Schizosaccharomyces pombe: one gene and its partner. Changing the gene in region 1 together with any one later gene gives a genetic interaction. Each region holds a gene or a part of one and is shown on either strand. Other genes may lie near its edges.

Region 1 (6,789 bases):
GCATACTCACCATTTTTAGGTTTAAAAATGCTGGAAAAGAAATGCCGGGTGCAACGTATTAATAGTACATCTAATGGTAGACTTGTTTCCTAATTCCACTAATTTCCGGTTATGGTATTTATATTATGTTTGGTGCTTTTTCATTATTTTCAATTTATAACTTACTATGCTATTGATTGTTTGCAGCATTATTTAATTTTTGGGTATTAATATACGAAAACAAAAAAATTTTTATAACTCGTATTCGCTGAAAAGCAAAGAAAAATAGTTTATACTCTTTTTCGTCTTTCTACATGCGGTGCAGAATTATTTCGAAATGTAGTACGACATTTATCAATGAACTAAAAATTGTTATTAGAAGTTAATTAGACTCATGTTTATTCATTATCCACCTATTCCTTTAGTCTTCTGTTTTGTGGATCATCTCATAATCCAAGTAGCTCGACGGATAAAATATATAATTAACATAAACGCTTAAATTTTTCCACATATTTAAGAATTGCCATAATACATCAAAATCGCTACCAAATGTTACGCTCTTCAATTAATGTTCTTAAAGCATCGTAACTACAGCAATGTGTACTTTCGAACGGCTAAGAGAGATAAAATTTATTATTATGGATTTAGAGATAATTAATAAATAAAGCGGGAATCCTTGTCTATACGCGGATATGAATTCAAATAAGAAAAATCAAAAAAAAAAAGAGAAATCACTTTAGATGAACAAATATTTAGATAATAGTAGTTAACATTTGATATACATGCTAATTATCAGAAGTAGCAGAATGCCATTTCGATAGGCTATTCATACTAAACTCATCATGTTCCTTATATGGATCCGTGCGAAAATCTTCTGATGAGTACAGGTTCAAAGCAAACCCGCTATCTGTATCGTCCGAAAATGTTTGCCATTGATCTAAACATGTAGTCACGGAACCTAAGCTAGCTGTGTCAGCTAATTCATCATCAAAGGCTTCAATTTGAAGCCTCAATTGGCTGGGTTTACCGGGCGAGCTTTCGCTTGTATCTTCAAAACCAAAAATATCTTCGACAGGCTCATCTTTAACATTGTCCGAGTAAACCTTTGGTGAAAGTATTTCAGGAGTAAAAAATGTCGATGAGGGGTTTTCGGGGTTGCCTTTCAAGTTGAAATTATTATCAGGATCCAAAAGATGCGGTACATCTCTATCTGATGATTCTTTTTCAACATCATGTGTTTGACGATTGATTGAGTTGATGCTCGGATTTTTTAGGGTGCTTGGGCTTGTCGAAGAAGGTCTGTCGTCGATGTCATTAGAACTTTCAAGAGAAATGCATTTATCTAAATCAGATTCAAACCGCAATACTTGCAATTGTGACTCCATTTTTCTGATTTCCAAATATAATGATTGCGCTTTAGCATCGACCTTTTTAAGGGCTTGTAAAATAACTACTCTTGTTTTCGGCTGTAGGGGTGCACATGTCGATAAATTTTTGGCATTTCTTTGTAATACCATGAGTTTCTTATTGAACTCAGTAATAGATGTTTCAAGTTGGTCAATACGTGTCTTAATTGTCCGGGCACGTGCAATTTCCATATCCTGTTTCATTTGAGCTTCAATTGCTGCTAATTCTTCCTCCATATACTTTGGATAGCAAGAAAAGTCTCTTTTAGGATGGTAAGAATCACTTACAGGCATTCGCAGACCAGCTGTACGAAGTGTTGAGATGTAGTTAATTTTAGCTACCCATTCTATCATGCTTTCTTCTGTTGGAGCACAAAGAGTCTCTTCAGATCCATCCCGAAATATGACGGTAAAAGAACAATTGCGTACATTCTTCTTATCTCTGTCACAATAGGCAAACGCATTAACAAGCGAATAACTGGTATCGGGGGAAAACTCTTCTAGAGGTGGAGTAAATACAAGCGGAGGAATTTTTGGAAATTCATATTCCATAGCCTCTGTATCTATACCTTGCAACGTGTCAAAACTGCTCGAGGTAGTTGTAAAATTTTTGTAACGCCTTTCATAAGCTTTCTTTTGAGCCATGAGATCTTTAGCCCATACCAAATTACGAAAAAAAAGTATTCTAGAAGCGGTCAACAAAACCAAATGCTCTTTGTATGAATTGTGCCCCACACTTCTTCGCTTCTTTTCACACCGTGGTAAAATGCCCAGCATACTGATACTAAAATCAACTAGTCCCGGGTCAGCATTGTCTGGTAATCCAATAAAATGATTGGAGAATGCCATTGGATGAGATCTTTTAGAAACAAGCTGAATTATCGCAGGGCTGGAAATCAACTTTCTAACGTTCAGCAAAGACGCAATATCTTTGATACCTGGAGATATGAATTTTCCATCATAAGAGAGAGATATTTCAGGCCGTGAAATATTCAATTGATTTTCTAACGTAAATGTGTAAGGAGAAAGCCCTAACCTTTTACGAGATGTGAAATTGTACTTTTCGTTCTTTTCCTTCTCAATGAGAAGCAACTCATCATCCAGGTTGACAAAAGGAGTAAAGGTAATATTGTCATAATAATACTCCATTATCTCCGGAGCTAATTCATCTATGTCACAGAGATTTATGAATTCCTGCTTCGTCATTTTATGCTTATTATTTGAATTAAAAACGTCAGTGTGGAGCATCATCAAAGAAAACACCAGAATGTAACACTGATCTTGGGAACTGAACATCCCAGGGTTACATTCAAAATAGCGCTTAGAGAATGCATTGATGACACGATCAATCTGTTGAGTTTCCTTAGGAAGGTGAGATTTAAGTAAAAATAACCGCAAGCAAAAATCCAACGGCCGATTTTCAAACTCCATTCCCGACATACAAAGGTGCAGAGCTTTGTTCAATGTTACATGATCCTTTTCTGCTAGAACAGGGATCATACGACTATAAGGAACTGTCTCTCTAAGCTTTGAGAGATAACTCTCCGCAGTATCATCTGCTGTGAGCTCCGGAACAGAAGAAAGAAACTTGGTCGGATTAGGCTTAATATCAGAAAATAAAGCCGAATTTTCAATAGTCTGAGCTACGCATTCGTCATCATCCCGGCGCAAAGTTCGAAAACTAAAAATACTAGAACGGTTTTCTCTCAATCTTTCTAAAGTCCTTTGGGTAGGAATCGTAGAACTACGAGGCCGTGACCGAGAGCTTTGTGGCTGTGGTTGTTCAACATCATTAGGAATAGAAGGCGAACGATACAACCGGAGGGAACCCACAGAAGAAGAAGGTGATGGAACGTTAGAAGTCTGATCGCTTTTATCAACTGGCTTAATGTAATCAGAAGATATGGAAAACTGGATAGGAGGTCTTTTTACTACAGGTAAAGAAGCAATGCGTTTCCCCAGGTCGGACATTTTGACACTACTTTTCCGAGTACCATTCTGTAAAATCGTATTATCAGATTCCGCTGACAAATTCTCATTTTGCTGGTTTAGAGGGCCACCAGCTTTATCGAGAGAACCAACTTCAGAAGGAGAACTAGTAGTTGAGTTAACATCGGGATTCCAGGACTTCCTAGACCACTTCGGAAATCGAAAAAATGATCGAGAAGCACGAAGTTTCGCCGAGTTGATACTAGATGGTGATTTCAAAGAAGGATTGGAACCGCTTAGGTCTGTCGAAATAGGAGACGTGACATCTTTTGGAAAATTGGAATCGTTTGAAACGCTTTGACTTGAATACGATGCAACAGGAGAATTTGCTTGCTGCAAATCCGAAGACCAGTTGTGGTTGAAGTAAAACGAGTGCTTGGCTCTTGCGATCGGATAAAAAATATTTTTTTTCTTAGAAGAGGGCGAATTACTCAAGTCGGTCTGTGAATTACTTGTGAAAGATCCGCTTGACTTTAGTTTACTGTTATGCTCATTTAGTTTTTCTGAACGTTTGGACAGATATGTCTGACTAGACTTTTTAAAGAAAGAGGAGAAACTAGAAGCGTTAGGAGAATTTACAGTGGTATCCTTTTCGGATTTATTTGAAGACTCCTGGCTGGAAGGAATTCTGAAGGTCATTTCGCGCCTCGGCGCATGTAAGTTGAAGAAAAAGAAAGACTTAAAAAAGATTGAAGTAAAGAGAGACCTCGAAAATGAAAGGAAGATTCAAAAAGAAATGTAATGTAAACTTAAGTCAGGATCTAAATTTATAACAATTGGAGACAGTAGATAGATTTGTCGACTATACGAGGATAAAACTGACTGTAATAAGGAGAAAGCAACCAACGTATTACCTTTAATGAACAGATATTTTTTCCCGAATAATCAAAAGAAAAATCAATTGAGAAACTACCGAAGCGAACGAACAAGGGAAAAACAATTAGTGATTAATATAATGCATGCAGCATGGAATGAAATGAAATGAATGAAAAGTAATGAACTGGAAGGTATGGAAGATGAAAAATGGTTATGAACAAAGAACGAGAAACTGAAACGAAGATGTAAAAGTGAAACTTCTGTGAGACGGTTCAAATGAATCGAAATTTTTTAAAAAAAAAAGCACAAAAACCAAGTGTGATCTGATTTAGGCAGCGCAGAGCAAACCGAATAAGCAAAGCAACGAAAGTAAAATGAACTCTAGTAATTTGAAACCCTCAATGGAAATACGAACACAAAATTAATGAGCAAAAGTCATGTCCTTGGGTTGATAGCAGGAAATTTAATGAATCGTCAATTGCTAACCAATTCAACTAATTAATTTCCCTAGAATTTTAATAATGAGTACAAGTTTTGGTGCTCCAGAAAAAAGAATTGAAAAGTAAATACTAGTTTTGTTGGTTACAGTAGTGTTATTTGCTCCGTCCACAACATGCCCGTGTCTTTATCGCCCAATGCATACAAACCCGCCCACCGCAAGGTATTCTGCCACACCCTTCCTCGTATGACCAAATCCGACATGGTCTGATAGAAACGTAGATAGCAAATGGCTAGCACGATGTTCCTGATAATCTAATGGGGCAAATGGCACCATAATGTAGTTTATTTTTTTATTTCTAATGTCAATGATTTAGAAAAATTTAGTTCGCTATCGCAAGTGCTTAAGATACACTACTTCAAAATTATAAACATAACAAATATTTTTAACAAGCTCAGCTGAACATGTTTCTAGGTTGCACCCTTTACTCATTATAATAATTTTTTTTTTAAAAATTAATTTTGAAAGCAAATAGCAACCAGATGTGGCAATAAAAAAAGTAACAAGTAATTTACCCACAACAGAAAAATCTAGGTATTTTTTATAATTTTAGAGATGCTTTTGTTTTACTATATACATAATTCCTAACTGTTCATAAAATTTATTTAACCACTTTACCAAATATTTTGTTTACATACCAATTGAAGTACAACCAAACCTGACCATTACAGTTATTGATCGTGCTCAATTTGTATATTGTTTTATAATGACTTAAAAAAGATTAAGTGCAAACATCAAGTATAAATTAAGATACTATGCTCACAAATTAGTGCCACAATTTTTGTAATAAGGCTAACTCATTCTTAGTAAATTTTACTTAAAAAAGAAGAAAACGAAAAATTAAAAGCACTTTTATTTTTCTAATAGTAAATGTATTTATATTTATGATATGTATAAGGATGGAATCATTTCACTTATATATTTTAAGTAAAAATTCCTTAGCTAGCTGAAACATTTTCCTTGTGATTAAATTTCTAACACTCAGTTATTTCGTATTTGTTTACCTTATAATAGAAGTACTTAAATATCGTTATTCTAATATAACGAATTGCTTCATCTTGGTTAAAAAATGCAGCGTCACTCTTAAGTCAAAAACATCAAGTACGCCGCTACAAACATGCCGCATCCGACAGCCGAAAGCGCATATACCGGTTTAAAAATCATCCTTTAGACGAGTGGACATATCGTTCTTAATGCTTTCTTATATGAATTGAAGTTTTTGGAAACTAATAGAAGGAAATGAAAAATCATGGCCGCTCCTGCAAATGCGTCTTCAAAAAAGGATCATGTTATTCCAGTCTTACTGAACGAATGTAGCATTGATTCTCCGTCTTTTAGGGCGAGCATGTATTATCTAGGGAATCAAATCAAAGCGTTTAACGAATGGTCTCATGATTTCTTATGTTGCTGCAACAAGTTTATCGAGTCAATAATGGCGATAGAGCCCATTGTCGCCAGTATGTCGTTGAATGCTATGCCTTCTAATGTTGCTTCAGGATTTTTTGATCCTGATTATGCAACAACCGCTTTGCTTCACGGTCAAGACTTATTTCGGTCGTCATATATGGTGCAACTTCAACAAGCTAAAAATTTACGGAAATTTATTGTTGCTCCATTAGATCTATTTCGAGATTCAAAAGTTAAGCCTTTGCTTCAATTAAATGATCGCTTTAAAGCCGAGCAAGCCAAGTATGATGCGGAAGTCTTAAGGTATTCTTCTCTTGGACATTCAAAAGATTTATCGCAAATGCGGGATGAAGCAAAATCTTTATACGAAGCTCGTAAAAGTTATTTTACAGTTGCTCTACAATACGTAGTTCGAGTTACCTCCTTTCGCTCATCCATTGATTTCATAGTTATTGAAAGCATTTGCAAGTTTTCAATTGAAACGTTTCGTTTGACTGATCGTCTGCACGAGTCCAATAGGCATATAAATGATCAACTAATTCGCTTACTCTCTTACGAAACTAAACTTAAGGAATCTTATCCTTCACTAAAAAGAATAGTATCTAACGTTTTTGATAGAATTGAGAAGGAAATTCTTAAGAGAGTACAGCCACCAACTAATTTAGACGCATATCGTTTCGATCCCCAGCAAAT
Region 2 (7,943 bases), 700 kb from region 1:
AGTTTTTGCGCGTTACGTTCTTAAGCTTAAGAACACGCGAAAACGTCATTATTTATTTTATCTTGTCAGCAATACTACACTACGCTATGATACACTACGTTGCGTATCACTATATGTCATATGTTGGAATACTAGCTAAGATCCGTTTATTGATAATCACGGGTAACTATCCGTCTATATACATAGTTACCCGTTGATAACAACTATTTAGAAATATTATAAATACCGTTACAACTGAACCTCGTTCCTCAGTTCAGTTATGAGCTATATTAGTGATAGGTAACATTATAACCCAGTTAATACAATACCTATACTCAGTTGCTACTTATACAACCTGTGTATTGTAATATAATAGACCACAAGGAAAACTCACCGCAGTTCTACGTATCCTTAAATCAGATACCAAACTGCGTAGCTTACATATCTGAATAAGGACATTAGTTGCGCAAAATATCTATAGCTCTTCAAAAAATATCAAAATATTAAATTACAATACAAAGCTTTTTATTATAATAAAATTAAAGTCGTTTTTTTTATTGGAAACCAGAAATAATAATTATGCAGCTAACCTATTTTATTATCTGTTTACAAACTCTTAAGAAACATTAAAAAGGGCATTATACCAAAAAATTCATATTTTACTATTTGGCTTTCTTAACATCATTGGAAACATCCATACCAGCGTCTGAACTGGACCGTTTAGGAGGAGAATTAGTGTCAACAGAGTGAGTTTTGGCGATTAACTTTTTCTCTTTAACTTGAGCTGCTGGGACTTCAGAATTGCTTTTATTGGAATCAGTGTTTTTAGAAGCTTCCAAACTTAAAATTGCAGGGCTATCTTTTTTCTTCGATTGCTCCAACTCTGCTCGCACTCTAGCTAAGTTCTTTTCCAGCATGCTCAACTTCAACTTGTTACGCATCTCGAGTTCTTTTCGGATGTTATCTAGTTGTTTTTGATGCGACTGAGCAACTTGTTCCTCAACATCCTTCTGTAAAATTTCTCTGCGCTTTTCCCATTCCTTTTGCACAAAAGTAGTAAAGTCGGCAGTGGAAGTCGAAAAGTCAGATATGGACTCGTTGAAGATTACTTGAAATGTAACTGATAACATCTCTTCTGTCTTTTTTAAGTTTTCCAAATCTTTAGTATCAGCATGTACCGAAGCGGACTCTGCTTCCTCGGATGACACAACTGTCTCTTGCAAAGCTTTCACTTGATCTTGTAAAACCTGATTTTGTTTCCTGAGTAATTCGTTTTTCTGTAGCTCTTTTGCAATTCTCGAACGTAACCTCAAAACTTCCTGTTGCATGACTTTCTTCCTTTCCATTTCTTCTTCGTTGGGTATTTCAGTATCCTTACTGGTTCCCTCAGATTTATTACTATTTTGTCTGACCTTCTCAAGCTCCTCCTTCGTAGTATTTAAGATATCCATAATTTCACTTAGCTTTCGCTGTGTAGAAGATAGTTCTTCCTTAGTGCTATTGAATTCTTCCAGTGACACCGTACTTGGTTCAGACTGTGTAGTAGCAGTGGGGGTTGCAGAAGGTTTGTTGAGTTGTTCATTGAGCTGATGACATTCCGCAACCTTGGCTTCTAATTCAGAAGTCTTTTGCGAAAGTTGTTGACGTATTTGATTGTGCTTTTCTAAGCTCTTGTTAACTACCTGCTCATATTTAGTTCGCCAAGCAGCTGCTAGTTTTGTATTCTTCAACTCTAATTGTTCAATCTTGGATTGGTTTTGCGCTCTCTCATTTTCCAAATCTTCGCTTTTTGATTTAACAGTTTCCAATTCAGATTTCAAATGACCAATTTCTTGATTTAACTCCTCTATTAAGTTTTCTTTGGAAACAAGTTCATTCTTTAAGCGTGAAGCATCACTAGACGTAGATGTGCTACTGTTCAAAGATAGTAATATTTCTTGGTTATGACGCTTGTATTCTTCGTTGCTGTTTTCAAGCTTTTTTACAGCTGCTTTCTCTGTTTGAAGCTGTGATTCTAGTTGTTCTTTATTAAGTCTAAAATTCGCCAAATCAGTTTTAAGAGTTTCTATTTTCTCTCTTAACTCTGTGATAACTTCCTCGTTCCTTTCTAAATTTTCTCGGAGAGATTTGTTGCTCTCATTTAATAAAGCAACCATGTTTAGATAATTTGAACGTTCCCCAACGGATTCAGAAGTACTGCTAACATCCTTTTCCGTTATACCTCTTTGCAGATCGGCGATAACTCGATTCGATGATTCAACGGTTCGCTTGAGTTTCTTATTTTCAAGGAATAATAATTGTCGTTGGCATGAAATAATCTCCATTTCTTTGGATATACGCTTCACATGATTCTGTAAATCTGATAATCCTAATTTCATAACAGAATCTAAATCCGGGGATGGGCTAGTTATTTCTGCAAAGTTGAGATTGGAAGATTGAAGTTGGGTTAAAAGCATTGCGTTTTGCTTTTTGAGGACATAAACTTCCTGTCTCAAAGGATCTTCTTTTTCACTAATGGGAAAGGGCTGAGATTCGTTTATACCGGCCTTTAAGGCTATTTCTTTATTCAAATCTTCAACCTGTTCTAATGCCTTCGTGTAATCCTCGCGCAGTTTTTGAAGAGTCGATCTAGCATCGGCATGTCTTAAAAGTTCCTTTTCATAATCTTCACGAGTTTTTCTTAAATCTTCAGTTACCAACAACAACTGTTGTTTATAATCATTCTCCTTCTCTAAATGTTGCTTTTCAGCATTTCGGTGTGACGAAAGCTCATTGTTAAGATGCTTATTTTCCTCTAAAAGCAAGGCAACTCTTGTTTCGCTATCTTTAGTAATATTCTCACAGCGTAAAGAAGAAGAAGCTATCTCATCTTGTAGAATAACTATCCTTTGTTCAAGAGAAGTGATTTTTAAATGATTTTTTTCCAAGGACTCTGAAGTTTGCAATCGATACTCATCATACTCAGTTTTAACTCTTTCAACCATTTCTTCGGCGAGTTTGCTTGCGGCCTGTAACTGTTCAATATTCCTTAAAGAATAATTGTATTGGGATTCTAAGGAAGTATGTTTAGATTGCAAGTCACTAAGCGATGATTCTAGCAAAGCTTCCCTTTCGCTATAGGACGTATTTTTTTGCTGTGTAAACTTGGCTTCCAAAGTAGAAAATCTTTGTTTTTCAAGTTCAATGACGCCGTTTAATTCTTGGAGTTTTATTTCCATCATTTGTTGATTATCTAACAATTTCCTGTTGTCTTCACTTAACGATTGTTTTTCGAGCATTAATGTCTTAATCCTGCTGGAGTACTCAATTCCGCTCTTTTCCAAAGATTTCTGTAGAGAATGAAGATCATTACTCATCTTTTCATTTGACTCCTTCAACTTCTGCAAGGAAAGGCTTAAGCTTTCCTTCTCAGATTCAAATTTTACTTTTCTAGCAGCATCAGATAGCTGTTGCTGGTTAAGAAAAGTTTGAAGATCTGATACAAGACTCATTAGTCTCTCGCGCTCAGCCAAAAGTTTATCGTTTTCAGATATTAAACGCTCTTGCGTCCTTTTCCGTAAATCTTTTTCACCCTTCGAAGCATTTAGTTCACCTTTTAATCTTTCAGCAAGTGAGTTAACATGTAATAATTCTTCGGCAAATTTACTGGCTCTCTGATCCTGTCGACTAATTATATCCTGTAAATTTTGATTAATACTACGAAGCTCCTTGGCTTCCTTTTTAAAGGCTTCAACGTCATTATTAGCATTAGTTAATCTATCAGTAGATAACTGCTGCTGATATTTGGAATTTTCTAACTCTTTACGTATTGCTTCCATCTCACTCAACAAATCCTGATTTCGCTTAGACAAGGATTCCTGAATAGCTGTCATTTCGTTACGATAAACTTCGTAATTTTTCTCAAGTTCTCTTGTAGATTCATCAATGGATTTCATTTTGTCATCAATATTGCCCGCGGAAGAATTGTGAGACAAAATACTGCTTCGAGAAGTAGCTAACATTTCTTTCAGTAAATTTCGTTCATTAAGTAAGGACTCATTTTTTATTTTTGACGAATTTAACTCACTTTCCAAATTTTTGATTTGCTCTGAAAGTGTATTTGAATTTTCTTTAACTGCATTGGAAATTTGATATTGGACAGTTTGCTTTTGGATTTCAACATCGCATTCAAGGGCCCGCACTTTTTCCCGCAGTTCTAGAGTTTTCGAAACAGCTTCCTTTATAGATGAAAAATTAGCAAGCTCCTTGTTTACTAGTGTCTCAGATGCAGTAGAGGGATTTTGAGCGTATTCATCAAGCGCAACTTGCACAGTAGCGGGAACGTTTCTTGATTTAGTTTCATTCAAATGATCAAGTTCGGCCATGAGACAAATAACTTCTCGAGAAAGATCACTGCATTGAGTACGAGATGCGGTGAGCTGCAAGTAACAAGCTTCTTGGCGCATTTTGGTCGATAAAAGCTCTGCTTGTACTTTGGTTAGGTTGTTGTTAGATGTTTCCAAAGATTCGCTAAGAAAATTCATATAAATGTTATTCCTAACGATTTCACTCCTCTGTTGTTTGACAACTGGAATCCTTTGTTTAACTTGTTCACAAAATGAGGAGAATTTGTTAGTCAAGCGGTCTAGCTGAAGCTTTAAGCTAGAAACCTTCTGTTGGAGTTTCATATTGTCCGAATATACTTTCGTAAATGAAAATTCGGGATTTTGAACGGCGCTTAACTTTTGCGCCAAAGGAGAAAACAAACCTACACCAGCTGAAACAGAGGTATTTTTATTTTCTTTAACCACTTGTAGTTCACTAACTACACTATCATATTTCTCTTGCAGTTCCCGCAAACTATTCTCCGAAATCAATAGCTGTTGCTTGTTATTATTTAACTCTTCGGTCACATTATTGTATAGACTTTGTTGCGAAGTGAGCTTTTCTTGAAGTGCAGCAACCTCTGATTGCAACTCTGAAGATTTAGACTCCCAAAGAGCTGTAAGTCGTTTCTGAGTTTCCACTTCTTCTTCAAGTTCTTTGATTGAAGTGGGGTCGGTTTCAAGGATTTTTGATATGTTCCCATCGGAGGAATAATTGCTCCGCTTTTGCTCAAAAAGCTGTATTTTTTCGTTAAGCTCTGTATTCTGTTGGGCAAGCCCAGCAAGCTTTTTCTCCAAATCTTGAACTTGACGAGATGAAACTTCTAATTTTTCGCAAACTTTCGAATGATCTGATTGCAAACTAGCCAAATCAGAGACTAAAGCGCTTTTCTCCTGAACGAGTATCTCTTCCTTGACACGACTGCTACTGCTAGCAAACATGTGCTGTTTCTTTCTTTCTTCAATATCAGACAATGCTTGATGCGCACTCTGGACTTGCTCTCCTAAATGTGAATTTTCATTTTGTAGGGCTTCGATTTGATCTTTCGCGATTGAAAGCTGCTCAGAAGCAATCTTAGATTGCTCTTGTAATTCAGAGTTAGCCCTTCTAAGCGACTGGTTCTCAGTAGTCAATGCATCAAAGCGCTTATTTTGATTCTCCAAGTTGGTTTTCAGCGATTCGTTCTCATTTCTCAATACCGATATAAGATTACGTGATTCCTCTGCTTGATTATTAGAAGATTGAAGTTGTTGCTCAAGAAAGTTAATCTTCTTCGTAAGAACATTCTCCTTATGCTCATGGTTGACTTCTTGAAGGACAAGCTGATCCTTTAAAGCGTTTATGTCTTTAACCTTGGTTTTAATAGCAGATATAAATACAGCGAAACCATTGACAGACACCAGGGGTTTTATATCCTCAAAAGATACATCCAAAAACTCGTGTACCAGCTGAATATCATCTTCAAGTCCCCCCGAAGACATTTTCTAGCCTGGAATCAACGTTCGATGACTTATGAAGCACCAGTGTACGTATACGAGAAGTAAGTGATCAACCTCGATGTACAGAAATAATACCACGTTAGAAGAAATGCGACAATTACGTTGAGAAAAACAAATGAAGCAAATTTAAAAATTGTAATTACCGTGAGTATTAAAAAAAAAGCTAAATTTCTGTATTCTTCTCTATCACGCCTTGAACGTATCTTGAGTAGCAGTGCACTATTCGGACCTGTCGTCCACACAACACCAATTTTGGTGACTTTACTAATTATTTAATCAAATATCATCCTAGTGATGTTTGGACAAAACAATTCTTCCGGATTTGGAGGAGGAACCGGTGCTTTCGGTCAAAATAATCAACAAACTGGTGGGTTATTTGGTTCCAACTCCAATACTCCAGGGAACACTTTGTTTGGTTCCCAAAACACTTCTACAACTGGCTTTGGGCAGAACACTACTCAACCCTTGTTTGGATCAAATACGAACGGTGGACTATTTGGAAATAGAAACAACACTACCACGACTGGTGGCACAGGTTTTGGAATGTCCTCTGGGACAGGTATGTTTGGCCAATCCAATACTCCTGCTTTTGGAGGCACGAACAACGCCACAAATCCTAGTGGTGGTGGCCTCTTTGGATCAAATACCGCCAACAACAATGCAAATACTGGAACGTCATTTTCTTTTGGATCGAACGCTGGTTCAACAGGGTTCGGTAACACTGCATCGAATACTGGTACCGGTGGTGGCTTGTTTGGTTCTCAAAATAACGCTGGCAATACTGCTGGAAATACAGGTTTGGTTCGCAAGGTACTGGTGGTGGCTTGTTTGGTTCGTCCACTACACCCGCTACGACCAACGCTTTCGGAACCTCTGGATTTGTCTCAAGCAATGCAAACGCTGTGAATGGTACAGCTAACCCACCTTATGCGGTAACTTCTGAAAAAGACCCTCAAACAAACGGTACTAGTGTCTTCCAGTCTATAACTTGTATGCCCGCTTATAGATCTTATTCATTTGAAGAGTTGCGTTTACAAGACTATAATCAAGGACGACGTTTTGGCAATGCTTCTAGTACGAACACTACTTCTGCATTTGGTTCAACACCCGCATTTGGAGCTTCAACTACTCCGTTTGGTCAGAATTTGTCAGGTACCACAAATAATGCAACACCGTTTGGTACATCGAATGCTACTAATACCACTCCTGGTTCCGGTCTCTTTGGCGGTGGATCTGCATTTGGTAGTAACACTACCAATACAGGGTTTGGTTCTGGAACAAATAATGCATCCGGTGGGTTATTTGGTCAAAACAATAATACCACCTCAACTCCTTCAACCGGTCTTTTTGGTGGCTCTACATTTAATCAACAAAAACCAGCTTTTTCAGGTTTTGGCTCAACCACTAACACTACCAATACTGGTACAGGAACGGGTCTTTTTGGTTCAAATAACGCAACCAATACAGGAACAGGTCAAACTACGGGTGGCTTATTTGGTGGTGCTGCCACTGGTACGGGTACGGGATTTGGTTCTTCTACTGGGGGGTTTGGAAGCAACACGAATAACCAACCCAATTCAGGTACCATGGGTACAGGTTTGTTTGGTTTTGGCGCTAATAATAATACGGCAAATAATAACACCGCTCCAACATCTACTTTTGGTGGTAACAATAGTAGTAATTTTTCCTTTGGTGCCAATAATAATGCAGCCACTAAGCCTTCTGGATTCGGTTTTGGTTCCACGACCACTACTCCTGCCAGCGGAGGTTTTTCTTTTGGGCAAAATGCTAATAATGCTCCCAAGCCAGCTTTTGGATCCACTGCTACCACTGCTCCTAAACCAGCAGGGACAGGTTTGTTTGGTGGTTTAGGAGCCGGTGCTAATACCAACACAGCTACTAATGCTACCGGCACTGGCGGAAGTTTATTCGGAAATGCGAACACTGCGGGTTCTAACATGTTTGGATCAGCCAACTCCAGTACTCCTGGTACCGGTTTATTTGGCTCTACGCAAACGAATAATGCTACTTCCAATACCGGAACCGGGCTCTTTGGATCCAATAATGCAAACACAACCAATACCGGTGGTAGTTTGTTTA

The links.
Region 2: mutations in sec73 (region 1) and alm1 are lethal when combined (synthetic lethality), as found in Schizosaccharomyces pombe (one study listed by BioGRID).

What each region holds. Positions count from the first base shown.
Region 1 is NC_003424.3:2,488,087-2,494,875, reverse strand, and holds sec73 (guanyl-nucleotide exchange factor Sec73), read right to left. Parts: upstream 4,801-6,789; 5' UTR 4,014-4,800; coding exon 765-4,013; 3' UTR 513-764; downstream 1-512. Other genes in the region: RING finger-like protein Ini1, read left to right, coding at 20-62; ltc2 (BAR and PH domain-containing protein), read left to right, coding at 5,939-6,789.
Region 2 is NC_003424.3:3,190,891-3,198,833, forward strand, and holds alm1 (nucleoporin Alm1), read right to left. Parts: upstream 5,878-7,943; 5' UTR 5,826-5,877; coding exon 642-5,825; 3' UTR 557-641; downstream 1-556. UniProt on the Schizosaccharomyces pombe protein: Maintains the proteasome and its anchor cut8 at the nucleus envelope and is required for kinetochore component proteostasis. Proper kinetochore stoichiometry ensures the correct attachment of kinetochores to spindle microtubules during cytokinesis.